Linked DNA regions of Ovis aries. The protein of the gene in region 4 binds, or shares a complex with, the protein of the main gene of each other region. Links are inferred from orthologs where the notes say so. Each region holds a gene or a part of one and is shown on either strand. Other genes may lie near its edges. The genes, in order: SF3A1, SNW1, CRNKL1, SF3B2, SF3A3, RBM48 and DDX46.

Evidence for each region.
Region 1: SF3B2 (region 4) and SF3A1 share a complex: the UniProt entries of both Homo sapiens proteins name them as parts of the 17S U2 SnRNP complex. The link is inferred for Ovis aries from reciprocal best matches to the Homo sapiens genes SF3B2 and SF3A1.
Region 2: SF3B2 (region 4) and SNW1 share a complex: the UniProt entries of both Homo sapiens proteins name them as parts of the minor spliceosome. The link is inferred for Ovis aries from reciprocal best matches to the Homo sapiens genes SF3B2 and SNW1.
Region 3: SF3B2 (region 4) and CRNKL1 share a complex: the UniProt entries of both Homo sapiens proteins name them as parts of the minor spliceosome. The link is inferred for Ovis aries from reciprocal best matches to the Homo sapiens genes SF3B2 and CRNKL1.
Region 5: SF3B2 (region 4) and SF3A3 share a complex: the UniProt entries of both Homo sapiens proteins name them as parts of the 17S U2 SnRNP complex. The link is inferred for Ovis aries from reciprocal best matches to the Homo sapiens genes SF3B2 and SF3A3.
Region 6: SF3B2 (region 4) and RBM48 share a complex: the UniProt entries of both Homo sapiens proteins name them as parts of the minor spliceosome. The link is inferred for Ovis aries from reciprocal best matches to the Homo sapiens genes SF3B2 and RBM48.
Region 7: SF3B2 (region 4) and DDX46 share a complex: the UniProt entries of both Homo sapiens proteins name them as parts of the 17S U2 SnRNP complex. The link is inferred for Ovis aries from reciprocal best matches to the Homo sapiens genes SF3B2 and DDX46.

Annotation. Positions count from the first base shown.
Region 1 is NC_056070.1:69,349,454-69,352,953, forward strand, and holds part of SF3A1 (splicing factor 3A subunit 1), read right to left. Parts: coding exon 3,357-3,500; intron 2,662-3,356; coding exon 2,540-2,661; intron 2,445-2,539; coding exon 2,199-2,444; intron 1,687-2,198; coding exon 1,479-1,686; intron 972-1,478; coding exon 817-971; intron 1-816. UniProt on the Homo sapiens protein: Component of the 17S U2 SnRNP complex of the spliceosome, a large ribonucleoprotein complex that removes introns from transcribed pre-mRNAs.
Region 2 is NC_056060.1:87,037,638-87,041,920, forward strand, and holds the start of SNW1 (SNW domain-containing protein 1), read right to left. Parts: upstream 2,801-4,283; 5' UTR 2,779-2,800; coding exon 2,765-2,778; intron 1-2,764. UniProt on the Homo sapiens protein: Involved in pre-mRNA splicing as component of the spliceosome. As a component of the minor spliceosome, involved in the splicing of U12-type introns in pre-mRNAs.
Region 3 is NC_056066.1:39,174,976-39,178,475, forward strand, and holds part of CRNKL1 (crooked neck-like protein 1), read right to left. Parts: intron 3,225-3,500; coding exon 3,058-3,224; intron 1-3,057. UniProt on the Homo sapiens protein: Involved in pre-mRNA splicing process. As a component of the minor spliceosome, involved in the splicing of U12-type introns in pre-mRNAs.
Region 4 is NC_056074.1:40,571,743-40,575,955, reverse strand, and holds the start of SF3B2 (splicing factor 3B subunit 2), read right to left. Parts: upstream 2,801-4,213; 5' UTR 2,776-2,800; coding exon 2,643-2,775; intron 2,475-2,642; coding exon 2,425-2,474; intron 2,136-2,424; coding exon 2,058-2,135; intron 960-2,057; coding exon 711-959; intron 498-710; coding exon 447-497; intron 1-446. UniProt on the Homo sapiens protein: Component of the 17S U2 SnRNP complex of the spliceosome, a large ribonucleoprotein complex that removes introns from transcribed pre-mRNAs.
Region 5 is NC_056054.1:12,733,427-12,737,621, reverse strand, and holds the start of SF3A3 (splicing factor 3A subunit 3), read left to right. Parts: upstream 1-1,395; 5' UTR 1,396-1,482; coding exon 1,483-1,578; intron 1,579-1,855; coding exon 1,856-1,903; intron 1,904-3,199; coding exon 3,200-3,252; intron 3,253-3,358; coding exon 3,359-3,464; intron 3,465-4,195. UniProt on the Homo sapiens protein: Component of the 17S U2 SnRNP complex of the spliceosome, a large ribonucleoprotein complex that removes introns from transcribed pre-mRNAs.
Region 6 is NC_056057.1:10,622,543-10,626,800, reverse strand, and holds the start of RBM48 (RNA-binding protein 48), read right to left. Parts: upstream 2,801-4,258; 5' UTR 2,789-2,800; coding exon 2,678-2,788; intron 2,152-2,677; coding exon 1,961-2,151; intron 1,955-1,960; exon of another isoform or gene 1,257-1,954; coding exon of another isoform or gene 1,183-1,256; intron 482-1,182; coding exon 336-481; intron 1-335. Other genes in the region: peroxisomal ATPase PEX1, read left to right, coding at 3,148-3,273. UniProt on the Homo sapiens protein: As a component of the minor spliceosome, involved in the splicing of U12-type introns in pre-mRNAs.
Region 7 is NC_056058.1:43,902,225-43,905,724, reverse strand, and holds part of DDX46 (probable ATP-dependent RNA helicase DDX46), read right to left. Parts: coding exon 3,424-3,500; intron 2,659-3,423; coding exon 2,545-2,658; intron 1,239-2,544; coding exon 1,073-1,238; intron 366-1,072; coding exon 245-365; intron 1-244. UniProt on the Homo sapiens protein: Component of the 17S U2 SnRNP complex of the spliceosome, a large ribonucleoprotein complex that removes introns from transcribed pre-mRNAs.

The DNA.
Region 1 (3,500 bases), on a different chromosome or scaffold from region 4:
GCCTGATTCACTACTGACACCAGCTGTGACATCGAGCAACTCACTCCCCTTTTCAAGAACTGATCTCTTTCTTTAGAATGATCCCTAACCTGCCTAACAGTGAGGCTGGAGCTGAAGAAGGGACATGCAAGTGCTCTGCAAGCCTCAAGAAGAACCACAGGGGCAAGAACATGAACTGTGAGGTCAGAAGACCTGGGTTCCCAACTCAGTGAAGCGGCTGATCACAACTGCTGGCCGGTGAGGCTGCGAGCCTTCAGTAAAAGGTGTGGTTCTATCCCAGCACTTGAGTAGGTACTCAAGAAATGGAAACTACTGTCAGAAATGAAAAAAAAAAAAAAAAAAGATCTGCTCAAATGCCCTGGGGCAGTGGGGCTGGGACTGTTTCTGCCTCCTCACTAGAGCCTGCCAGCTTCCCCAGGCCCCGGAAGTGCCGAGGTTCCCAGCTCTTGTTCCTAGTACCCCAACAGGATCCCTACAATACAAGACTCCTGAGGGCGGCAACTGGAGGCAAAGGTCACAAAGAAACGAAGAACTGTCCCCAGGATTTCCTCCTGCGTCCTGAGCCCCATTCATACTGGAGTCCGGCTGCCTGTGCAGCTGGGTCCAGGGGGGCCGCTGACAGCTGACGGCTGACCCCACATTAGGCATGCTGGGCACTTGGAAGCCTCAGAAGCCTCCTGGGCCTCCAGCAGCTGACCTAGGTCCCAGCAGCCAAAACCACGGGAGCAGCTCAGGGTGGGCCAAGGCATGTAACGGGCAGGATGGTTCCGCCGACCTGTCTGGACACTGCAATGTGGGCAACTCTGGGTCACATGCCTTGTTTCTGCGCAGAAACTCCTCCTCGGGCATGAGGCTGTCCTCGGTCTTCAGTTTCTTAGACGCAGGCTCGTCTTCCATGGGAGGCGGGGGGTGGACAGGCGGCATGGGGGCTGGAGCAGGGACAGGTGCCACAGGCGGGGCGGGCACAAAAGCTGCAGGGCAGGAGCGAGCAGCCACATGAATGGGAGGAAGGCACCCAGGACCCTGGGGGCTGACGGTGAGGGGAGACTGCACAGGTTTCCACCTTCTCCCCGTCAGAGGCGTGAAAGACCACTCCTGGCTGAGTCTGGCAGCCAGTGAGCTCCCCGGCAGAGGACCTGGGCACCTGCCCAGACTGGGTAGCAGGAAGCTGGAGGAAGGGCGGGACTGATGGAAGGAGCAGGGGCTGCCCACAGGATCCATCGTCAGGCCTCAGCGCCCGTCCAGGCCTGACCCCACTGGGCACACATACCCCAGCTCTGCCTCATCAGCCTATCTCCCCCAGGAGCCAGGAGCCCAAGCCCCTGCACCCCAGGGATCTCTCACAGAGCTAAGCTAAGGCTCTCCTCTGGGCTGGAGCCACAGCTGGAACAGCTGGTGCTCCCCTTAGCCACTGCCCTGCTCAGGGCTTGCCCTGTAGCACCGACCCAGTGGCCTGGAAAGCGACATGAGACACTGACCTGTCGGCACAATCATGGGTGGTGGGCGAGGTGCCATGATAGGAGGGGCCGAGGGAGGCATGGGCACCACGTTGATCCTGGGTGCATGGATGATCGGCGGCATGGGGGCGATCACCGAGCCTGGGGGCAGCCGGACCACGGATGCCATCGGGGGCCGGGGCATGACGGGTACCGCGGACACAACCGTGGTGCGGACGGGAGGCGGCATCTGCGGGCGGAAGGGACCCACGGGTCACAGGAAGCCAAGGCTACACCCCAGGGCACACCAGCCGGCAGCTGACCCCCTGCAGCCTCTGGGGATGGCGCTGGATAGCCTGGAGCTGAGAGCGCAGCCTCACATGGGGCTCTGACAGAACCACACGGAGAGAGACCCAGGGCGACACTCTTGCCACTTCGGACTCCACCCACGAGAGAGAAACTGAAGATGCCCTTGACTCAGTCCACTGGACTCAGGCCAGCGGTCCTCCAAGGCCCCTTCAGTCCTCCTGGCCTCCCTGACCCAAGCCTGCTTCTCACATTTGCCACCCGCCTCCTTCCCAGCTCCAGCCCTCCCACACAAATGGAAGGCCAGGTTGGAGGTTCCCACTTCTAACTAAAAGGTTCTTTTCTCGACTTGACCCATTCTGCCCTTGGGCTCCTGTGAGACCACTGCCCTGGGCTGGCACCATCCAACCCAGGGAACCCAACTTCAGGGGCCCGTCGGGGTGGCTGCGGGCTAACCGCGGGCGGCCGGGGCACCGACGTAATAGGCGGGGCCGAGCTGGGGATGTTGGTGGCTGAGGACGGCGGTGGCGGCTGCTGGGGGATCTCGCTGGGCTTGCTAGGGCCAATCTTCTCTTTGGTGTCATCCTCTGGCACCAGGCCCTTCGCCTTGTGGATGGCCTCAATCTGCTCCTGGAGGGTGATGTTGGCCTGGGCGGCCTGCTGGGTCCGGGCCATGCTGCCAGAGTGGCCGTCCCAGGTCACCTGCACGGGAAGCAAGGCCACACTGGTCAGGGCTCCTGGAACTGAGCGTGAGTGGGGTGCTGGCAGGAAAGGCGGAGGCAGTCACCGAGCCGCACCTTCTCTTCCGGCTTCTGGATCTCCTCCTCGCCAATCTTCTTACCGATGGCTGTTTCCTCCACACCAAAGATGTCCGTACGCCGCTCGGCCAGCTGCTTCAAGCTGCTCTCAATATCCAGACCTGGATAGAATCAGGGAACAGAGAGGAAAACTAAACCCGGTGCCAGTCCAACAAGATGGCGGCTCAGTTGGTGCAGGTGGAGGCTGTTCTTACGGGACACAGCTGTCTGTGGGTGCCAGGGCCTCGCGCCGGCCCTCTGAGCCTGGGGAAGGCCGACGACCACTAGGCCTGGAAACCGGGGCGTGTCCAACCCCCACTTGATGAAAGGCATCCGAGCGGACAGGCCACATGAGCAGCGTGGCAAGGGGGAGAGTGCGGACTCTGGGAGGGGCCTCCAGCCTCCGGGACAGTCCCTCCCTCCCTGCAGGGCTGCTCCTCACAGTCAAGGGGCCAGTGTGTCTCAATTCAAGATGCTCAGCGCCCTCCAGCCGCCACAGCCTCTACTCTAAGACGGCCTGGGAGTGAGCACCCCTCCCGGCTGCAGTCAGATCCTGCTCCAGGATGCCGATGGGCACACGCCACCCACCTCGGGTGCCCTCCTCTGCAGGAATCCTCTGCAGGGTTTCTAGGAAGCGGGCGGTTCTTTTGTGGCTTCCTAGACCACACCTATCCTCAAAAGCTCCTGGTGACCTCAAAGCTTTCTACATTTGATTAAAGCGTGCTGACTATTAACTTAAGAGATCCCAATGGGCCAAAGTGAGTTAGGGCTGAGTCAAAGGAGGAGTGTGGTCCGAGTGGGGAACACCCCGCCTTACCTGGCGCGTACACCTCGTCATCGCTCTGCTTCTCACGGATGGAGCGATCCCGCTGCTCCAGCCAACGGGGGTCGAGAAGCCCAATGCGCATGTGCTCCTGCATCTTGCTGGCAGGGATCTTCTCCCCAGTGATGGGGGACACAA
Region 2 (4,283 bases), on a different chromosome or scaffold from region 4:
GTGTTCCATAAACATTTGATTTTTTGGAGCTGTTCCACAATTCCCCCAGCGTAAGTTAGTTACCCTTCACCTATGCTCTCATAAGACCCTCTGCACACCACTACTACAACATCTGTCTTACTGTACTGCAATCACTATCGATTTATCTTTCTTTCTCTCATTAGACTGTGGGCAACTTGAGGGCAGGAATCACTTTCTGTTTCTTTAATCCTTAACTCTTAAAGCACTGCCTAACTAGCTCACAATAGGGCTTTACTCAAATGTTGGCTGGAGAAATAACTTCACTCTACTCTTTGCACTCATCATTTTTCGGTCACAAACTTACTGCTTTTCTTTAAACAAATCATTTCTGTATCCTTATATCTGCTTTCCCACTGCCATAGGTATTCTATTTACTTATTAAGAAAACTCTTCATCAGATTCTTTAGTGCTTGCTTCTCAGTATTCCTGTCCCTGCTCAATTATACCTCCCTACAGCTGTTACCTGACCAAAACAGCATTCCACCCTGCTCTTTGCGTCACTCTCTATACCTTTATTTTATTCCTAGTACTTACTACCTGAAATTGTATTACTGATTTGTTTACTCCTATAGTCTGTCTTCCCTAGAATGTAAACTCTGAGGGTAAGAAGAGTCCCTGACAGAATCAATAGCAACACTAGCTGACACAAAGTACTTTCAATCCATGCAATCCCAACATATGCAATTTACTAAGCAAATGAATGGATGAAAGGAGTCAAAACATTTTGGGCTTATACCATAGCTGTTTCCAGTAAACCATGTATACTAACACATAGAGGGATACAAAGTCAGAAACAAGCCAAAATATTTACTTAGGTTTCATTTCTCTTTTACCTTTTGTTGGAAGAAAATGATCATTCTAGTCACTAAAATGATCAAAAGGCAGGCAGTTTGTCAAGGCAGAGTTTGGACAATCTAGTAAACAGGTAATCTGGCCTGGATTATAATGAGAACGCATCCTAGCCTTCCAGAGAGTCTTAATATTGCTGTTCCCTGTAAAGGATGACAATCCCATGAGGTACTTTCCTATGGTAGGGGTGGGCTGCTTAAGTGAACAAAAGTCTACCTCAGTATTTCTCAACTGCGGGCAAAATAACTACAATGCAGATATCTGACAACACCTGGAAACATTTTGTTATAACTTGTGAAGCAGAGGGAAGAGAAGAGGTGGGGATGCCACTGGCATCTACTGGGTACAAGCTAAAGATACTCATGAACATCTTAATGTAGGCAGGGAGGCCCCATACAAGAATGAATTATCCAGCCCCAAATGTCAATAGAGCCGCTGTGGAGACATCTTAGTCTATCCTTTCCTTTTTACTAGTCTCTGCTGTTAAGAATCTCTGGGAGATCTTAGCGATAACAACACTTCACCTGGAAACTTGAAACTGTCTATAGAAACCAAATCAGCTAAAACTCCATGTAAGTCCCCAAGACAAGCTACTTAATGACTGCACTCTGCTATCGCAATTTTAAGCACCCAATGCCGACAAGATCTCTGGTATTTTTGCTCTGTGTCCTTTTCAATTCCATCTTTTCCACAAAGCGTTTCCTCATAACACTACTAGTCTCTGTCACACTGCCTCCCACCTGGAGGGCACTCACTCGCATGTTTGCTGCCTGCAACACTTACTAAAGAAAATGCTCCAGTTCATTCAGCCCATTCCATCTAATTCTTTTTGCACTTCACGCTAGTACTACATAATAAGCATTCTGTATTCTTCGTTTCATATCTGTAGGCCTTGTACCCCAATCTGCCCTGCTGCCAAAGACTGTCAGATTTTCCTTCTGTATACACACAAACCCTAGGACAGAAAAAGAAATCTCTCATCCAAGTATTTTTACGGTTCATAACGGTCATCAGCCAAGACAAAGGCGAACAAGGATAATGAAGAGTGTCAGGGGAGCTGAGGCAGATGTCCTAACGCGATTCCTTTCTTTACCCTCTTGGGCAGTCAACTTTTCCCGTTGCAGTTCGTTTGCGTGTAAAGTTTTCTACTGAGATGGGGCAGCAAGGTCGGAGTTACGTAACTCCTTCGAATCTCTTCTTTAAGCATCTTTTCCTTAAAGGCGGGGACCACTTTAATCACTTGCAGTTGCCAAGGCAACCGGGAACCGCAAAAATCATACTCGGTTCTATCTAAGGGAAGAAATTCTAAAAAAGCCCAAAGTTAAAAGTGCGGGCAGCGACGGGAACTAGCAGACAGCGGCCACTACCGTAGCTTTTGATTTTAAATCTCCTTCAGTACCGCTCTCCCCAGCCCTTTTTTTCCAGGAGTCCTGGTTTAGGACAGAAACAGAAGAAAAGACTTCGGCGAAAAAACAGCCAGGCAGTCGCCGTCTCCCGCCCGCTCCACTCTGCCCAAATAAGCCCCTGCCCTCCACACACTCGCATCGCGCCCACCCGAGCCGCGGACCAGAGGCGGAGCCCTCCACACCCCCAAGACGCTCAAACGAAAAACGCGCGACTCCGCGGTCTCTCAGGCCAGAGACCTATTGGCTACGCCGCGACTTTCGGCCCTAGCGAGGGGGCGAAGGCAACCCGGGAAGCCGCTAAGGAAAGACCCCAGCTTCGGCGAGGCCTAGCCGTCCCAGCGGCCTGCAGGAAGGCCCAGCCGTGGCCTCGGCTTACAGATGCTCTGTGGCCCGAGCCTGGTGACGGCCCGGGGAGTGTGGGCAGAGAAATGAAAAAGGTGGGTACTCCCAGACCCTTCCGTATCGAGGACCCGAATCAACAAACCCACCTGGTGAGCGCCATCTTCTTCCGCTTCTTCCAGCGCGAGCGACAGCACCGCGGGGCGGGCCTTTCCCGGGCGGAGAGCTGTGGAAAGGAAGGGGCGCGCGCTGCGCAGGCGCCCTAGCCGAACGGCCTTCTGGGACTTGTAGTTCTTTGAAAAAGACTACAATTCGGTTCCATTGTCAACCAGAGTTCTGGGATACACGGTTCACTTAAGAAAACCCCAAACGCATCGCTCTTACACTATGACATGATAGAGCATTCCCTAAGCATGATAATAACGAAGTTGAGATGCCTTTTAAGTTACTTTATTTTCAGTTCAGTTGAGTTGCTCAGTCGTTTCTGATTCTTTGCGACCCCATGGACTGCAGCACACCAAGCTTCCCTGTCCATCACCAACTCCCAGAGCTTACTCAAAGTCATGTCTATCGAGTCAGTGATGCCATCCAACCATCTCATTCCCTATCCCTTTCTCCTCCCAACGTCACTCTTTCTCAGCATCAGAGTCTTTTCAAATGAGTCAGTTCTTCACATCAGGTGGCCAAAGTATTGGAGTTTCAGCTTCAGCATCAGTCCTTCCAATAAATATTCAGGACTGATTTCTTTTAGGATGGACTGGTTGGATCTCCTTAGAGTCCAAGGGACTCTCAAGAGTCTTCTCCAACACCACAGTTCAAAAGCACGAATTCTTTTGCGCTCTGCTTTCTTAATAGTCCAACTCTCACATACATACCAGACTACTGGAAAAACCACAGCTTTGACTAGACGAACGTTTGTCGGCAAAGTAATGTCTCTGCTTTATTATTTTTTTTATTTTTATTTTTTTTAATTTTTATTTTTACCTTATTTTACTTTACAATACTGTATTGGTTTTGCCATACATTGACATGAATCCACCACGGGTGTACATGTGATCCCAAACATGAACCCCCCTCCCACCTCCCTCCTCATAACAACCCTCTGGGTCATCCCCATGCACCAGCCCCAAGCATGCTGTATCCTGCATTGGACATAGACTGGCGATTCGATTCTTACATGATAGTATACATGTTTCAATGCCATTCTCCCAAATCATCCCACCCTCTCCCTCTCCCTCTGAGTCCAAAAGTCCGCTATACATATCTGTGTCTTTGTCTTTTTTGTTATCTTGCATACAGGGTCGTCATTGCCATCTTTCTAAATTCCATATATATGTGTTAGTATACTGTATTGGTGTTTTTCTTTCTGGCTTACTTCACTCTGTATAATCGGCTCCAGTTTCATCCATCTCATCAGAACTGATTCAAATGTATTCTTTTTAACGGCTGAGTAATACTCCATTGTGTATATGTACCACAGCTTTCTTATCCATTCATCTGCTGATGGACATCTAGATTGTTTCCATGTCCTGGCTATTATAAACAGTGCTGCGATGAACATTGGGGTACATGTGTCTCTTTCGATTCTGGTTTCCTCGGTGTGTATGCCCAGAAGTGGGATTGCTGGGTCATAAGGCAGTTCTATTTGCAATTTTTAAAGGAATCTCC
Region 3 (3,500 bases), on a different chromosome or scaffold from region 4:
ATCTAAAAACCTGTGAATAATAAATGTTGGAGGAGACACGGAGCAAAGAGAACCCTCCTACCCTGTTGATGAGAATATAATTTGGTACAATCATTATGGAGAACAGTATGGAAGTTCTTAAAAAAACTAGAAACAGAATTACCATACGATCCAGCAATCCAACTCCTAGGCATACATCTGTAGAAAACCCTAATTCAAAAGACATATGTACCCCAATGTTCACTATTTTAATTTGAAGCACTATTTACAATAGCCAAGACATGGAAGCAACCTAAATGTCCATCAACAGAAGAATGGATAAAGATGATGTGGTGCATACATACAACGGAATATTACTCAGCCATAAGAAGGAATGAAATAACATCATTTGCATCAACATGAATAAACCTAGAGTATCAAAAAAACAAACAACCCAACCAAAAAATGGACAAAAGATCTAAGTAGACTTTTCTCCAAAGAAGAGATGTAGTCATACTAATTGAAGTAAGTCAGAGAAAGACAAATACCGTTTATCACTTATTGGTGAAATTTAACAACACAAAATGACACAAATGAACGGTTTGGCAGAGAGAAACAGACTCACAGATCCCAAAATCAAATTTACGGTTGTGGAAGGGGAAACGTGGGGGGAAGTGATGGACTGGGAAACTGGAATTAACATATATACACTACTGGGCTTCTCTGGTGGCCCAAGCGGTAAAGCAGCCACCTGCATTGCAGGGCACCTGGGTCTGATCCCTGGATCAGGAAGATCCCCTGGAGGAGGGAATGGCAATCCACTCCAGTGTTCTTGCCTGGAGAATTTCATGGACAGAGGAGCATGGTGGATTACAGTACATGGGCCGCAAAGAGTCGGCACGCACGCACACACACACACACACACACACACTACTGTATATAAGATAGATAACAGGGACCTACTGTATAGCACAGAAAACACTTCTGTGGTAAATTATATTGGAAAAGATTCTAAAAAGAATGGATATATGTATATACATACATATATATATAAAAAACTGACTTAGTTTGCTGTATAACATAACATTGTAAATCAACTGTACTCCAATAAAGATTTAAGGGAAAAAAAGAGGAAGCTGCTGGTGGTCCAGTGGTTAGGACTCAGTGCTTTCACTACCATGGCCCAGATTCAATCCCTGGTTGGGAGAACAAATATCCTACAAGGTGTGTGGCAAGGCCAGAAAATCAAAAAAAAAAAAAAAAAAAAAAAAAAGAAGAAAGAAAGAAAAAACACGTCACGAAAAGAAAACTACTAATCAGAGCCAACAGAGACATTTTTTATTACAATTTTACTTCTTCATAGGATGTATTTTTCATCTACTTTCCTTGAAGAAATCATTAAATTTCAAAGTAGTAACACATTCCAATAGGGCAATGATTAAAGAGTACGCAGCCCATGGGGTCGCAAAGAGTCGGACACGACTGGCGACTGAACTGAACATGTTCCAGTTGGGCAATGATTAAAGAGCACCGGCTCTGAAGGTGACTGGCTCAAATCCCAGCCTCACCAGCACCTGAAAGGTGCTATCCTGCCTCAGATTCCCCATCTGCAGAAGGAAGCAGCTTCTGAATTGAGGGCTGTCACAGGGATTAAACAACAGTATCTGTAAAGTGCTTATCATAACGCATGGCACAGAGCAGGTGCCATACATGCTTTTGTTAAACTAGTGATATCAAAATGAGTAGTCACAGCTAAGATGCTAAAATTACATAATAAAGTTGAGTCTCGTTATCTCACGGTACCTACACTCTATGAAGTCACTCTGCCTGGAGAACACCAAATCGCTGCTCCCAGAGGAAATATGTATGCATGATATACACCCACATATATACTATATCTATACATACGAATACACACACATCTCACATAGACTGTGATTTTCAATCCTAAAAATAACTATCATTGGCAAATTCTTTTATTTTAGAAAAGAGAAAACAAGTCTCAAGTGTTAAGTGACATGCCTAAAGCTGCCCACTAACCGGTGCCAGAGAAGGAATTCTGTCCTGCTCAGCTGGCCCAGAGCTGGGGCGTCTCCCTCCCCTGCACTGCCCCTCCCGCTCCCTGCCCCGGTCAGCCCTGCAGGAGAGCAGAGACAGGAAGGCAGATGGTTGTCTTGTTTGTCCTTCACTGGGACCAAGTGCCTTGGGGGATGCAAATTTTTTATCACTCTGGGCATGTCTGCAAATGACTGCCAAAGTGCCACCAATACTGATTGTGGATCTATGAATAAACGCTATCAAATAGGAGATAAACCAGCACAACAACAGTGAAACAAGAATCAAGCACTGCTGAGGGTGCTTTCCCATCACCATCTCCTTCCTCCTCACAATCAGCCCACAACAGGGACTTTTACCTCCCTTCTAAAGATGAGGGAGCTTCCCCGGTGGCTCAGTGCTAAGGAATCTGCCTGCCAATGCAGCAGACACCGGTTCGATCCCTGGTCCAGGAAGATCCCACACGCCATGGAGCAACTAAGGCAACGTGCCATGACTACCGAGCCTGTGCTCCGGAGCGTGGGAGCCACAGCTACTGAGGCCTGCGTGCCTAGAGCCAGTGCTCTGCAATGAGAAGCCTGCACATGTCATCTAGAGTAGCCCCTGCCCGCTACAATGAGAGAAAAGCCTGCATAGCCAGAAATAAATAAGTAAATAACTGAGAAAATAAAGACGAGGACACCTAGGCTCCAAGGAGTGATCTGACGCATCGAGATCACATGGCTAGTAAACAGTAAACCTCTGGACCAACTCCAGTACCAGTGCCCATGACCAACATACACCCCAGAGCAAACAGGGCCTTACAGTATTAACTTCCATAAGGAACCACAGTGTTAATGCCAAAGGATAAACAAACCCAAGTCTCCCTGGAAAAGAGACAACTATCCCGACCACAAACTTTTGTTCTGAACAACTATGTCCCTAGAAAATATAAACGCAACTTATGAAGCAGAAGTTGACTTCTGGGCCAAAATCAGTGACTATGTGTCCCAGCCAGACCACAGCTCCCCAGCAGTGCAGCAGGCAGACCCATCCAAAGGATATAGCGCTCATAGATGGTGCGGGCCCGGTCCACCTCCTTGTATCTCAGCTCGAAGTTGATGTATGAATGCCAGGCCTGCTCCTCGGGCCGCCACTCCATCCAGCGCTCGAAAACCTGCCGGGCACCAGCGACGTTCCCGAGCATCTCTTCCATGTACGTGTACTTGTACCTTCAATAGAATCATCTGAACTTATTGGTCACAGTCAAAATGACTTCAGAAAAAAACGGTCTTTGGCAATCTCTGGCTCTAACTTTGTTAACACGTGAAGAGTCAGGGCTTTATCTTCCCAAAAGGTGAAGTCAAACATGTTTCACCTATTAAAATATAAATCTGAAAAGGATTTATATAGCAACTAAGCCCATGTGCTACAACTACTGAGCCTGTGCGCTCTGTAGCCCATGAACCACAAGTGGAGAATAGCCCACACATCACAATGAAGACCCC
Region 4 (4,213 bases):
CAGGGGATCTTCCCAACCCAGGGATTAAACCCACATCTCCTGTCTCCTGCAGGCAGACTCTTTACCCACTGAGCCATTGGGAAAGCCCAGTAGGGGTCAGGAAATTTCTTCTGTAATGGGCCAGTCAGTAAATATTTTAGGCTTTCTGGGTTGTTTGTAGACTGTTGTAAATTCCTTTCCCCCATCTCCCCGAAACAACCCTTCAAATATATAAAAACCATCCTTACATCACAGGCCATACAAAAACAGGCTATAGTCCACAGATTACCAATTCCTTGGCTATGTGAAAGAAAGAATTATTTGGGAGATAATGGAATTTAGATGAGGATGAGGTAATCTCCATGGGAAACCTGAATGGCACGGCTAATTTTAGACAGTAAGCACTAGAAGTGACAGACGATGGATTAGACCATGGAGGTCAAAGGTTAGGAAGAGGGAGGCATTACCCGCTTCTGCTGCTCCAAAAGCTCATGTTCCTTCAGTGAATGATCTCCCTGCTTAAGAAAGAAAACGAGCTCATTCCAGTACCCACACCCCACCGGCCAGTCTACCACAGCTCTGCTTCCTGGTCTGCTCTTCCAGCCGAGGCCCTGAAGACTTGGGTCCAGACCTTCCCAGAAGCCTTGGCCCCAGGATCCGGCTCCCCTGGAGGCCCTACTCCCTTTTCAGGACCCTGGTGAGACCCAGGCTCAGGCTGCCACCTGCCCTACCTGCTTGGCACGCTCCTCCTGCTGCATCAGCAATGCCGCCTGCTGCTGCGCCAGCTTCAGCCGCTCTTCCTCAGACAGCGCCACGGGCTCACCCACCCGGAGAGGAGGAGGAGGCCCCAAGTTTGGCGGGCGGGGTCCAACTGCCATAGGAAAGCCAAGGCCAAGGCCAGGTGGGGGTGGTGGGGGTGGTGGAGGGGGTTGTAGAGGAGGGAGACCCATGGGTGGGGGCGGCATGGGAATCCCCGAGAGCTGTGGGGGGAAAAAAAGGCCATTAACTATGAAGCATTTATGTAATGGCAGGCATTTGCTGGGGAACTAATATAAGGCTGGCACTGGGATTCAAAGTCAAATGATGCACAATTCTTGCATTCAAGAAAATGCAGGGCTTCCCTGAAGGTCCAATGTTTAAGAATCCGCTCAACGCAAGGCACATGGGTTCGAGCCCTGCTCTAGGAAGATTCCACGTGCTGCGGGGCAACTAAGCCCATGTGCCGCGTGTGCTGCAGCTGCTGAAACCCGTATACCCTGGAGCCCGTGCTCCGCAACCAGAGGCCACTGCGATGGGATGGCCGCACAACACAACTAGACAGTAGTCCTGTGCTCGCTTCAACTGGAAAGGGCCTGCACACAGCAATGAAGACCCAGAGCAGCCAAAGACATAAAGGAAAAAAGAAAGAATACTCTACGGCAGTATCGAAAGAAGAGCATTTTAACTTTGTGCCACCAACTGATGAAAGCTGTCAACTCTGTCCCAGAAGAACATCATGAACACAGACTTCACATACAATTTCAGGAGACTCACGGACACCTCTAAAGGCCTTCTGAAAAACTCCTCAACCCCTCAAAAAATAAAAACCTTCTTATGCCACACATAGAAGTCCCTGGACCCCAAGTCAGGGCCACTGCTCTACAGAAAAACTATCAAATCCTGGATCAGAAAAGACATGGAAATTGAGAGTATTTAAATAAATAAGACCCAGTGTGCCCCAATGACTGATTAAATATAGAAGGTATGAAATTAAATCAGAGAGTAAGCCCTAATTTCTCATTGAATAACATGGGAACTCTGCACAGGGAGGGCAGAGAAGAGAGTGATTACTTCCAGCTGGGGAAGGATTATGTCAGGTTTCCAGATATTTAAGCTGAATCTTAAATGACACATGAAATTTGGAGGAACTGACACTGAGAAAGGAAGTAAGAATCTGGACGAAGGAAGAACTGAAGAGTTCCCAGTTCTTTCATCAGTGTACCTCCCTGCCCAGTGGGCTACGTGTATCCCCCTGTACGCTCAGAGGAGGAGCTACTCTGAGTAGAAAAGAATCTTATCAAGTGAGACAGTCTTCTTACCTGTGCTGACATAGGAGGAGGAGCAGCTTTGTCCCCATCTTCACCTCTCAGAACGGGACGATTCAGGACGATGCCAGTCTGTGAAAGTGAAAAGAATCTAGGGCAGTCTAAAAGGAGCTGGTGCATGAAACAGCGTTCGCTCTCGTCTATTCAACAAAATTTACCCAGTGACTGTCTGCCAGAGCTCGGAATGGGCTCTGGGAAGAAACGATATATACAAAAGCAATTATAACACAGCAGATACGAAGCAGCCAAGACCCCACTTGCTGTACCGAGATTCGTAAACAACGAAGACCGAGTTGTAACGGGTCATTAATGCCTCCTGCAAACGCTCGGCCTATCCTCATGTCCCGCCACCAACACTTACTTGGCGAGTGTAAGCCTGCAATCGCTCCACAAGCTCCTCGCGACTCCCTGCTAAGCAAAGCACAGGATCAACGGGGTAGGTCAGGTCGAGCAGGCCAGCCTGCCCAAGTCAGGCCACCGCGGCCAGCCTCTAACCCCCGCCCCCGGGTCTCCGGGGTAACCAGCTCCGCTTCCCCGCAGGCCTGCACTTTCCTGCCCTTGACTTCCCATGCTCCTCACCCTGGATGGGAGCTCCGATCTCTGCTAATTTGGCCTGAAGCTCCTGGGCAGCCCAGGCACCATAGTGTCCAGGAGGCGGCGGCGGCGGCAGCTGCAACTCTCCCTTAGGAGGCTCCGGATGCTCGGCCGCCATCTTAGCCGCAGGAAGGCGCGCGACCAACCCGGAAGCTCGGACCAGCCTCCGGACCCACTTCCCGGAACTTCCGGTAGGGCGATACGCCACGTCCGCTCGAGGGTTGCCAGGCAGTTCCCATCAGGGCCCACCCCCTACCGTTCTCCAATGCTCCTTAGGCCGCCTGGTCGCGAAGCCTTCTGGGAGTTGTAGTGCACAGGTCACGATCTCTGCGGATTCAAATCCGGGAGGATCGCGGCCGGCCGCGACGCGGGGAACTCTGGAGGCCAGAGCCGGGGCGGGGCTGTGGGGAAAGCAGGTCCTGCCCGAAGGGCGTGCTTTCTGCATCTCACTGGCCTCAGCGCAGACCTCCCGCCTTGCGGCGCTACTCCCTGGTTGGACTTGAGAGGCCTGGACGCTCACGTTCTCCAGGGACTCGTTCCCCCGGCGGTCGCGCGCTGTGGGCGCCAAGCGGGAGTTTGCCGCCGATGCCTGTGATAAAACAGTGTCTGATTGTCTGCCCGCCCATCCCCGGCCCAGGCATGGATGAATGGGCTGAAAGGAGATCGGAGACGGGAACGAAGCCGGCCCTCCGGGCTGAGATCCAGCTGCCGACCTGGGGGAAGGGCCACACTAAAGCCCCTTTTTCCACCTTCCTGGCCGTCTCAAATGTCATCTACGTTAAACTGTCTCCCGCCTTTCCTGCTCTGGAGCGGCCAAACCTCTACCATTTGTTTTGAAATCTTTCTTGCCCTTTTCTGCACTTACAACTCCCAAGACATGAGTTTTTACGGTCTCACAGTACCTGGCGTTAGAAGTGCTCAATGAATTATTACTGAAAGGGGGAAAAAAAAAAAAAAAAAGCAGTCTTAAGCGACAAGATTTGGATCCTTTTTTAGTCTTGAAAATAAACGCAGGGGAATTCCCTGGTGGTCCAGTGGGTCGAACTCAGTGCTTTCCCTGGGGAAACCCGGGTTCCATCCGCGGTCAGGTAACTAAGATCCCACAAGCCGCACCGCAAGGCCGAAAAAGAAAGAAAATAAACTCAGGACCTTTTCTTCCCTCATCCCCACCAGCTTACTGGCGCAGCAGACCCTGTCTGGTGCTCTCCTACCCCACCAGCGGCCTGTGCCCCTGAGGGAGGGATGGGCAGGTGGCCCTTGCTTGCCCCCTTCTGCTTCTCCCTGTCCTGATCAGTCAGTTCAGTTCATCTTCCCACCTCTGCCTCCAGCTCTGAGATCCCGTTCCCATTCTAGTGCTGCTGTCTCACAGACAGCCAGGTCGCAGCCAGTGTGCATGTATGTGTGTTGGATGAGAGAGCGGGGCAACTCAAAATGGTCTCTATTCCCTCTCCCCTCCCTCCACACCCGCATCCCTCAGATCTTCTCTCTAGCATGCTCTATTTCACGAATCACCCCCAACAGAGCAGTACCTGGGAGGAGGGAAAAAAGAATGGGAG
Region 5 (4,195 bases), on a different chromosome or scaffold from region 4:
TCGAGTGTACAATTCAGTTGAGTTTAGCAAATTTAATAGATTTTTGCAACTATCACCACAATTCAATTTTAGAATTTTGCTACTGCTACTGCTGCTGCTGCTAAGTCACTTCAGTCGTGTCCGACCCTGTGCAACGCCATAGACAGCAGCCTCCCAGGCTCCTCTGTCCCTGGGACTCTCCAGGCAAGAGTACTGGAGTGGGTTGCCATTTCCTTTTCCAAGAATTTTTCTATCACCTCCAAAAGATTGCTTTTGCATTTCCTTCCCATCTCACCTCTAGCAGCAGGCAACCACTCACCTACTTTCTGTCTCTGTAGATTTGCCATCTGGACGTCCACTAATGTGTGTGTGTGTGTGTGTGTTGTTGTTTTTTTCTGCGTGTCTGCTTTCTTTCACATAACATGATGCTTTCATGGTTCATCCATATTGTAACACTCCTTTATTGCTGAATAATGTTCCATTGTATGGATACACCATATTTGGTTTGTATATTTACCAGTTAATGACTGGGGGTAGCAGCTTTGTTGATAATGAATAGTGCTGCTATGCATGTCTGCACATATGGACATAGGTTTTCATTTCTCCAGCTAGATGTGGGCATATAGACTTGTTTCGGTTTTTTTTTTTCCAGTTATATAATATTTTACTGCTTGAATGCACTATATTTTATTTAACCAGTCCCTTGGGTTTCCCAGGTGGCACTAGTGGTAAAGAACCTGTCTGCTAATGCAGGAGACATAAGAGATGTGGGTTTGTTCCCTGGATGGGGAAGATCCCCTGGAGGAGGGGATGGAGACCCACTCCAGTATTCTTGCCTGAAGAACCTCTTGGACAGAGGACCCTGGCGGGTTATGGTCCATAGGGTCGCAAGGAATCGAACATGATTGAAGCGACTTAGCACGCACGCAGCACTGCTGATAGACAATTAGGTTGTTTCCACATAACAAAAGAGAGGAAGGGAAGGAGAAAGAAAAGAATAAATGAAAGGAAAAAAACCCGCGATCATTCCCATTTTACTGAGGGAAAAACGTTGTCACAGGTCACACTGAGCTGGAGACTCAAGTTCCGGTTCATCAGCTCCCATACGTGCGCGTCAGCTACTCAGTCCAGGTCCCTACCAGCACGGCCGCACAGCTAGGGAAGTCCCCGCCGGCCAGGTCAGATTCCTTAACGCCAGGCTGATGGATTTCTGTGTGCCCCCTAGAGGCACCTGCAAATCGTTCGGTATCGCGCCACACACCTCCGGCCAGCAGGGGGCACTGCAGCAGTCTCCATAGCACGGACTGGGTCTTTAGCGGTGCTCACTTTTCCTCGAGTCCCCGAGGAACTTCCGGCAACCGCGGAACTTTGGTGCCTCCGGACTCGTAACTTGCGGACGCGGGCGCGCAAGGCGGCAGGGGTTGTTTCCGGTCGTGTTGGTGGACTGGCTTGAGCTGGGGCGGCAGCGACTGCGGCGGCGGGGGAGGAGAAGGAGGAGGGAAGATGGAAACGATTCTGGAGCAGCAGCGGCGCTATCATGAGGAGAAGGAACGGCTTATGGATGTCATGGCCAAAGAGATGCTCACTAAGAAGTCCACGGTGAGTGGACCTAGGCAGGGGCTACCGTAAGGCCGGGCCCCCGGCCCGGGTTTAACCTCAGAGTTTTTTTCAGCCCTCAGACCCGCCCCGCCCCGAGCCCTTCGGGGGATTCCCTCCCCGAGCTCAGGCCTAGGTAACCTTTCCCCGGGGCCCAGCGCCCAGAGGCCTCTCTGCTTGGGCTGCTAAGACCCGAGCAGGTAAGCTCCGCCCTCGGGCGGCCTTCCCAACTCCAGAATTCCGACTAACGGCGTATATGTCACCGTTTGCCTTTTTTCAGCTCCGGGACCAGATCAATTCTGACCACCGCACGCGGGCCATGCAAGATGTGAGTGTCCCGCTGTCCGCTTCTCTTTGGGCACGGTAGACTGGAAGAGGAGGGAGGGGGTGCGGGAAAAAGGTAGCCGATTGGCCAGTCGAGGAGTTTGTATGCCTGCCGAATGTACGCGCCGAAAGCAACCCTGAGGATGTTTAACCACCCTTACTCCCTTCTCCGAATGGAGTACTCTTACTCATTTTTAATTACTAGAGAAGATCCCCTTTACAGCATCCTGTGTCCCATGGATGTGCAAAGAGTAGTTATGAGGTGTCAATGCCTCAGGCTTAGAAGGTACTCTCCTTCTCCCCCATAGAAAAAAAAATAAAGACCCTAATCAGAGTTTCTGAATTAGGATAGATAAATATTACTAGCCCCTAATCCCTTATTTAGATTCCCAAATCCAAAGTATTCTGAAAACAAAAGATGTTTTAATTTGTTTTGGAAATTATTTGGTGGCAAAAATCTGACTTGATCTGATCAGATGAGAGGTTTTTTATGGTCTTTATCCCATTCAATAAATAACATAACTTTCACTGCAGAACTAATTAATGTGTTTTCCAGATCCCACTAGGGATATTTCATGTAGTACCTTCCTGAATTCCAAATTCAGAAGCAAATCTGGTTCCAAAAGTTTTGGAGAATGGGCTATGTACTTGTGCCATCCTGAATTTGAATCCAGAGGAAGCTGTGTGGTGTTTTACTTAGCCTGAGCATTCCTTAGTCAAGCCTTTTGAAATAGTGGAAGTCAACTTGGACTACCCTTTTATCTTTGAGAGTCTTTGATGGGAACTGCTGTTTTCCAAAGGGTGACTCTCACATGGCTCTCTTTTACAATACAATACTTCTACTGTTGTTTAGTTGTTAAGTCATGTCCGACTCTTGCAACCCAATGGACTGTAGCTTATCAGGCTCCTCTGTCCATGGGATTTCCCAGTCAAGAATGCTAGAGTGGATTACCTTTTCCTTCTCCCGACCCAGGGATCCAACCCACGTCTTGTGCATTGGCAGGCAGATTCTTTACCACTGACCCATCAGGGAAGCCCATGACTCTTCTAGGGAAAGTTAAATATGGGAACTCTGCCACCCCTCAAAACACATTTCTTAGGTAATCTTCAGAGTGACCTGTTTTAAAAATTAGCTAGGAGCCAGTGTTGTCTGTTAAGGGTACCAGAAAGCATAAGAACTTTTAACACCACATGTCTTGAAGTTTTCCTGAGATTTGACTAGAGAGCCCTTGTTGGTTGCTTGGGTCTCAGTTGTACGGGCGGATTGCTTCATTCTAATGGATTTGTGTTTGCCTTTCAGAGGTATATGGAAGTCAGTGGGAATCTGAGGGATTTGTATGACGACAAGGATGGGTAAGTCACAGTCACATTCAGTCCAGCAATTACTGCTTTTGAGGGGCCATGGTTAAAGGACTGACTTTGTGCTCCATGTTTTCTGGATTTTTTTCTGAAATTGCAGCTTACGAAAAGAGGAGCTCAATGCCATTTCAGGACCCAATGAGTTTGCTGAATTCTATAATAGACTCAAACAAATAAAGGAATTCCACCGGAAGCACCCAAATGAGGTATGACCTTGCAAAGTTTTTTCTCCAGTCCTGTCCAAAGAGTATACAAAGGACATGTGTTAGGAAAATGGAGATGGTCATTCAGATGTCCTTTCAAAAAGGAACTTACCAGTTAGCAATAAGCAGCGTAGTTAGGTGACATCCTGCAACTGCGAGTTCTTTCAGAATTTCCCTCAGCTTTAAGCTAAAGCCATTCTCTTCTAGGGCTTCCCAGGTGGCTCTCATGGTAAAGAAGCTGCCTGCTAATTCCCTGGTGGTTCAGTGGTAAAGACTGCCTGCACTGCAGCAGTTGCAGGTCCAGTCCTTGGGTCTGGAAGATCCCCTGGAGGAGGACATGTCAACCCACTCCAGTATTCTTGCTTGGGAAATCCCATGGACAGAGGAGCTCGGCGGGCTGCAGTCCATAGGGTCGTAAAGAGAGTTGGGCACGACTGAAGCGACAGAGCACACATATTCCTGGGCAGCCCCTAACCAGCGACTGAACACAGTGTGGGGGAGGGGTATCACAGCCTGGTTATTTCTGCCCACTGTGAGACTTTCAGTGAGATTTTCTCATATCTACATCATGGTCTAGGCTCTCTCTGCTCCATCCCTCCATCCTGCTCGCTCTCTCCTTTCTTTTTTTTTTTTGGTGGCCACACCTCATAGTTCATGAGTTCTTAGTTCCCCAAACAAGGATCAGAACCGTGTCCCCTGCATTGGAAGCATGGAGTCTTAACCACTGGACCACC
Region 6 (4,258 bases), on a different chromosome or scaffold from region 4:
TTATCTCAGATTCACATGTCAGCTGCTGTGTTGTGGTTATATTACTCACAGTTCCTTAAAATGCATGACGCTCATTTATTCCTCTGGCCCATCTTTCCATCTGTTCCTCTCCCTTTCTGGGTAATGTCTACTTTCCCTTCAGAACTCAGCCACCATTCTCATCCTGCAGGAATCTTCCATGAAATAACATCTATCCCTTCCCAGGCAAGATTACATAACATTCTGTAAAGAAAAAACTTCGTAGCTTATAGTCACTAGACTGGGAAAACTCTAGGAGGGTAAACTCAGCAAAATGCCTGACACATTGGAGGTGTTTAGTAGTAGGCTTTACATACCTTTATTTTTAGTCATTCTTGCTACATAAGCATTCCTCTCTTGTAATTTCTTTCTGGTTTCTTCAACTGTTTCAAATTCTGGAGCATAGCACACATGAAGCAAGCCACCAAAGAAACTCTGCTCATCCATTTTTCTCTTGGCCATCCTAAGCAGAAATTCACGATACCATGGTTTACTTAGGGTGAAAGCTTAACCAGCATACAATGCATTGATCTAAAAAGCAAAGTCCAGACTTTGTTGTATACATAAATCCTATAGCTTCGGAGCTGCGATGCTCTGCACGTGAATGGTATTGACCCTACTGATCCACTGCATATTCTTTCAGAGCCTTTTTCCCCCTCTCCCAAGAGTCTTCATAGGTTTTAAGCTAAGTTTTCCAAACATATCCAGACTCCCTTTAACCAACATAAGATTCAGCTGGTTGGCCTGAGGTACACAATCTGTGGTCATGAAATAGAGATTCTGTGTTAAAAGGCCCTCAAAAATTAGCTCATGCCCAGCTTAGCCTTTTTAGCACAATGTGTTCCTATAATGGGGTTCAAAGATAAGAAATTAATAAAAATATTACAATTATAAACATTTAATAATGGAGAAAACACAAATATATAACAGTAAATGAGAAAAGGAGAGGATAGTATTCATTTAATGTATACTTACTAAACATCTATGACTGGCCAGGAATTACTACGAAATTAAGTACTTCTGTGTCCAAGGTAAATGGTAAGAAATATTCACTGAGATTTTACCATGTGCCAGGCAGTGGCCTAAATGCTTCACTTGAAATCACACTTCTCAACATCCCTATGATGACTCTGAGGCATGGGGAGATTATTTGTCCAAGCTCACCTTGGTTTGTGGAGCCAGGATTCAAATCCACATGTCACACTGTAAAAGGGGTGTGGGAGATGCAAAAGCTTCATGGAATGAATACACAATAAGGAAATATACTTCCCTAACCATGAGGAGCTGGCAAGTTGGTTAGGGCAGTGAGATTATACATAAGAGCAACTGGAGAACAATATATGACCCATATACCCCAGTACTGTTTGTAGCACAGAAAATGTGAATTGTAATAGCCAGGGAAGGGATGGGTCTTGAAGCAAATTAGTGACAAGAATATAAGATGAGGCATTTCATATTTCCCTTACTACAGCAGAGGATTTATGCTATTCAGAAGAAAAAAAAAAAAAGATGGGGTCAATTCATATAGGTGCATAACAAGAAACCTAACAGCTAATGTTGTTTACCGCATTCTGAGCAGGAGGCATCTGCTAAGCCCTCTACATGGATTATCTCATTTCATCCTTACACATTTTATAGGACAGGAAAACAGGTTTAATGGGATTAAATAACTTGTCCAAGGTCATCATGTTAGTAAGCAGTGGAACCTGAAAACTTAGTCCAAACCCAGTTTTTAATCTACCACACTACAAGACAGAAAATGGTTACACATGGGGATGACCTAATGGACAGACTTTTGATAAAGCTAACACTTACATTAAGAATACTGGAGAAAAATAAAAAGCCATGTTAGATTACTGAGTAATTCATGAAAGAATGAGGGAGGCCAAAATGATAGCAATGGGAACAGAGGAAATGAGACACTGCCTGACTTGTATATTACCTTGCGCTTTGTAAATTGAGAAATTTAATAAGATAAACTTCTGTAAAGTCTTCTGCTGGGTATTCATCTAGAGCATTATACTGTTCAATTGCACCATATAGAGCAAATCGCTCAACTAATTCCTTCATTGCTCCCACGGCAGGAACTCCTTGTATTAATAAGTACCAAGACTCCAAATTGATTGTATAGACCTAAAAGAAATGCACACGCATTAAATGTGTTTCACAAACAAGCCTAGGACAACCTGTTACTATTCAAAACAAACAAACAAACAAAAACCCTGAAAACAAGAACTACTCTGTTCAGGTCTGCAGAAAAGGTGTTTTTGTTTTTGTTTTTAATCTGCCCTTCTCTTTGTAGAAACAATAAGTCACCCTACATGTGAGGGCTTCGAGCTAAAGCACATAATAGACTACCTCCAATCGACATGTCTTCAGAAGCTGCCTCGGTAAATGTTACAGGAAAGAGTTAAATATTCACTACTGTAAACACGGAAGATACGACTAAAACACATACCCCGTTTTCACGGAGCTCCAACAGTTGACTAAAGAGGCCGCGAGAGTATCTGCTACCTGGGTACCGGCGTCCCTCACACTCATCTCCAGCAAATGGATGTGACCGCAGCCTTTCAAGACTTTATTTACATTAACTGGGCGTGTGAAGCTACAGCTTACATAAAGCTACCGACGACAACGAATGAAACCAAAATCACTTTACCTTCACAGCGCGAGGCCGTCGGCCCTCCCGATACTTGGCTCTCGAGTCACACACAGCCCTTTGGACGTGGTGATCGAATACGCCCCCAACTTGCCCTCCACTGGACGCCATCTTGCCGGCTTTGGCCCTCGCAGAGACGACAACATCCGCCTGTTGCCCTCCTGATTACCCAATCAGAGAGAGGGATGGGTCAAGGCGCGCCGAGATTGGCTGAAGGAGCCACAGGGTTGGCCATCGTTTCCTGTGAGCAAGTAGGCGGCGAGCGAGCTGCCGCCCTCCAGCGGCGCGGCGGAGAGGCCCGGCGAGCCGGACTGGGCTGGCCTGCCGCTCCAGCTCCCGAGGCGCGGCGGGCGCGAGGGGCGGGGCCTGGGGGCGGGGCCGATCGAGCGTAGCAGGCCCGGTCACCCTCGGTCCGCAGGCAGCCCGGGTCCGCTGGGGTGGGCCTCCGGCGGGGCCGTCGCTGGCGGAGGATGTGGGGCAGCGGTCGGCTGGCGGGTGCTGCTGGCGGGGCGGCCGTGACCGTGGCCTTCACCAGCACGCGCGACTGCTTCCTTCACTTGCCGCGGCGCCTAGTGGCCCAGCTGCACTTGCTCCAGGTAACGCGCCCGCCCCATGGACTCCCCAGCCCGGACTCGGGACTCCTCGGGGGCCGTCTGCGGCCGCCCGGGACCCAGGCCTTTTCGGGACGCAGCGGCCGCTCGGGCGTCTCCCGACGGCGGGACGCGGGCTGCTCTCCCCGCGCCGCCGACCTGTTCATCAGCCAGAACGTGGGCCGCTCTGGAGCAGGGCCGGTCCGGGCGGTCTTTGCAGCCCTACCACGTCGGGTGCAGCCCCGGGCCTTTGCGTTAACTTGCCGTACGTATTCCAGGTCTTCACTCGGTGAAACTGGGCTCTCAAACATCCTGATAATTTTCTCTCTGAGTTCAGCTATTCCTCACTCCAGGTTGGAAAAGCTTTGGAGAAGTCGGGTTTGTCTGCGGATTTTGTTTTGTTTCGATCGTAAAAAACGTTTTTCCTGCCAGTGGTTTCCAGGTGCGCCTGCCTGGCTGTGGCCCAGGAGTCCCTGTAAATTAATAGAGACTGAGCCGCGAGCGAGATAGGTTAATAAGATGAAGGTTCTCGCTGCGTCTCCGCTGCTCGGAATACCTCCTAGGTGTGCCCGGAACGTGCAGTGGGATTATGCATACTTGGACCTCTGCAGTTAGTTGCCCTCTGGACATTGTGATTGTGGTAGTTCATAGTTCTAACCACATCCCTAGTTTCGTAATTATAAAATAGGGGCACCTGGTCTACCAGTTTGAGTGTGCTATGAGGACAAAAAGAATACTTGAAATCTTTGAAAATCCTGGATGCACAGTACCCACTACGGGCTAATCCTTGCAGGAAATATTTAGGAGTTTGCAATAATTTTAAATATCCCACCTCTCCATTTTAGCTACTTGCCTTTAACTACTTTTCTAGATTGTTTTTCCCCAGTCTTTCAAAGCATGTTAATTTCAATAGATCCTGCCATTGTTGCTTTTACTATAGAGAGTCTCTTGGAGCTTCCCAGGTGACAGCTAGTGGTAAAGAATCCTCTGG
Region 7 (3,500 bases), on a different chromosome or scaffold from region 4:
TTGGGTTTGATGAAAACGCTCTAAAATTAGATTATGGTAATGACTACACAACTTCATAAATATACTGAAAATCGTAAACTAAAGGGTAAACTTTATGGAATGTAAATCATATCTAGAGAAAGCTGTTTAACAAAAAATCAGTATTTTCCATTAGAATAAAAATGTAAGCTAAGGAATTATTTGTGTAACAGGTTATTTTCAGTAGAAAGATATTGAAAAATGTGGACAACCGCTCAACACTTACTTTTTTAGAGAATTTAAGATCTTCATAGAAATTCCACACTGAACCCAAGATTTAATTGGTTTGGGGCAACCTTTACCCTTGACAGTAATGCCCTCCATTTCCAACCGAAATACATTCACCTCTACAAAACAAAATCCAGATTAAAAACTCTTAAATATTGTTCTGTTAGTGCCCTCTACTTTTCAATGAGGCATGGTTGTATTAAGAATCAATTCTTTTTTAGTGTTCCCAAAGATAATTCCATATAGAAGCTCCATGACAATGCACTGAACAGCTCTGACAAAGTGATTACTGTTGCAACCAATTGGGGTGCAAAGAAACACCCCAATTTCTACAACTTGGCTTTTATTTTGACTTAAATTCTAACAGCAATAAAAGAACAGTGATTCACAAGTAATACAACCACTTGTTCTTTAAGCAAGGGTTGCCCAGATCACGCTTTTTCCGTCAATATCACACAGATTCATATTGGTTTCTAATTCTCAAATAAGAGAAAAACAACAATACTCTACTTGCTAACTTCACATGAAGAGTATTTTCAACCCTAAATAGCTCAACTATGTAAGCCAAACTCATTTTTGCTCATTTTTTAAAAATGTTTCCCAAAACACACTAATTTCTAACTATTCCTAATCTTTGTGGATGTAGCAGTCTCACTCTCTAGAATGATTTCTCATGTTCTAGTTCACTCTCATTTCTCCAAGTAAGTCAGGCACATTTCTCCTACTTACCCATCAACTTACAGGCCTATCAACATGCCTCCCAGGCAAGGTGAAGTATATTTCCCCCATCCCCAAAATAACTGATAAATGAATAAACAAATTTTACCCTCTTGAGACATTTTTGCCAATTCTGGAACTTCAACATAGAAGTTTTTTCTGAATGGTTCATATTCAATTTTTCCATGATCCACTGGTTCTAGAAGCTTTCTCTGCTTTGTCTGGTAACCTGTAAGAGCTGTCTGAAGATCAACTTCTTCCTCCTCTGAAGAATACTGTAACAAAAAGAGAAAAACTAAGAGCTGAATCTATTACTGTCTTCCTATGGGAAGAAATATTCCTAACTTAAAAAATGTTCCACTCCTAGAAAATACTCTTTTCCTCTTCTTTTATTTTCTGAACTTTCCAACTTAGCTTATTTTTTCTTTGCCATCATAGAAAGCTTTAGTAACAATATAAAGCTAAAACAAAAAACTAATTCTAACATAGCTTTAATGAAGTTCTGCTATAGTTTTCTCTATATAAATCATTACAATAAAGTTTTCTCTATATAAATCATTACAGTGAGTGTTAATAGTAAAAAATTTCATTCTGTCACTTCATTTCTTCTCTCCCTATTCTACATCTGGGATGTACTGATGAGGGACAGGGATGAATCAAAATTTGGCCTACACATGTGCAGCAATACAGATGAACCCAGACAACATCATACCATGTGGAGTCAGTCAGAGAAAGATAAATACTATATGATATCACTTGAATGTGCAATCAAAAAAATACTACAAATGAATTTATTTTCAAAACAGAAACGGACTCACAGACATAGAAAACAAACTTCTGGCCACCAAAGGGGAATAGGAAGGAGGGATAAATTAGGAATGCGGGATTAATAGATACAAACTACTATACATAAAATAAGCAACAAGGATTTACTGTACAATGCTGGAGACCTGGGTTCAATCCCTGGGTCAGAAAGATCCCGTGGAGAAGGCAATGGCTATCCACTCTAGTATTCTTGCCTGAGAAATCCATGGACAGAGGAGCCTGGTGGGCTACAGTCCATGGGATAGCAAAGAGTCGGACATACTGAATGACTAATATTTTCACTTTTCACACTTTCAAAGGGAATTACATGCAATATCTTGTAATAACTTATAATGAAAAAGAATCTAAAAATATGTATGTGTGTGTATACCTGAATCACGTTGCTGTACACTTGAAACTAATACTATATTGCAAATCAACTATACTTCAATTTAAAAAAAAGTAGGTATACAAGAAGTTAAAGAGGTTAAAATGTTCTACCAGTTTGGATATCTGGCTACAATACTGTTGAGAAAAGCAAGAATTTCTCCCAAGAGTACACTGCGTAACTGAAAAGCACACCTCCATCAATGCTTCCTTATAAATACTCATAGGATGGTACCACGTGCTGTGTGCTCAGTCGTGTCCGACTCTCTGTGATCCCACAGACCATGGCCCACTAGGCTCCCTTGTTCATGGAATCCTCCAGGCAAGAATACTGGAGCGGGCTGCTGTTTCATTCTATGGTATCGTGAACAAAGTTAAAATTAAAGTTACCTCCATGGCATCCTGGTCATTCTCCATTAGCTCACCTTTCTTCTTATCAGAATCTACGACTGCTTTTTTGGTTGTGACAACTGTGACAACTTTTGTGACCGTTGGCCCAGACTTCTAAAAAAAGAATGTGAAATATTTTGCTAAAGTTGAAACACAAAGTATAAACCAAATGAAACAATGATAACTGTAACAATTTATAATCTGAATTAACTTAGTAGTCAGTGACTACTAATGCAAAAACAAACAGTAGCCCACTTTCTCCTTACTTAAATTTAAAAATGTAATACAACAGCATTATATTTCCTAACACATTAACACACAGGTAATTAGGTATGTAGTATGTAATTTTATATAATATTATGTAATCTATTTTTAAAATACTATTAAATAGTACTTTTCACTCATTCCACAAACCAAATACTATCCCAGGATCTGAAGATGAATCAATAAACAAAACAGGTAAAGATCACTGCTCTTGGGAAGATTTTAGAAGAAAGAAGGAACAAGCAAACACAACATTGAATTACACCATTTGTCAATAAATTCTATTAAGAAAAAGAAAACCTAGACTAAAGAGGATCAGGAGTATAAAATATGGGAGTGTTGGAAAAGGACCTACTGAGAAAGGAACAAGCAAGCAAAAACACTAAACAAAGATGATAATAGTAATGATGACTCTAAAAGGACATTTGCAGTTACAATTTGCTAGTATCTCTGCTCTTTAGAAAAAGCACAGACACTTCTGAGATGCAGAAGGAAACAAAATCATTAACTTTATAAAGCCATGCAAGCCAATAGTAGGTCAATGCAACAATGAATTCAAGTTATTCAACTAGGAATATAAATCTTTAAAAATAAAATAGGAAAAAAATCCCATACCTTTTCATTTCCCCCACCACCTTTCACACTTCTCATATTAAACTTTTTTACTTCCTCTTTCACTTCTTCCATGTAAG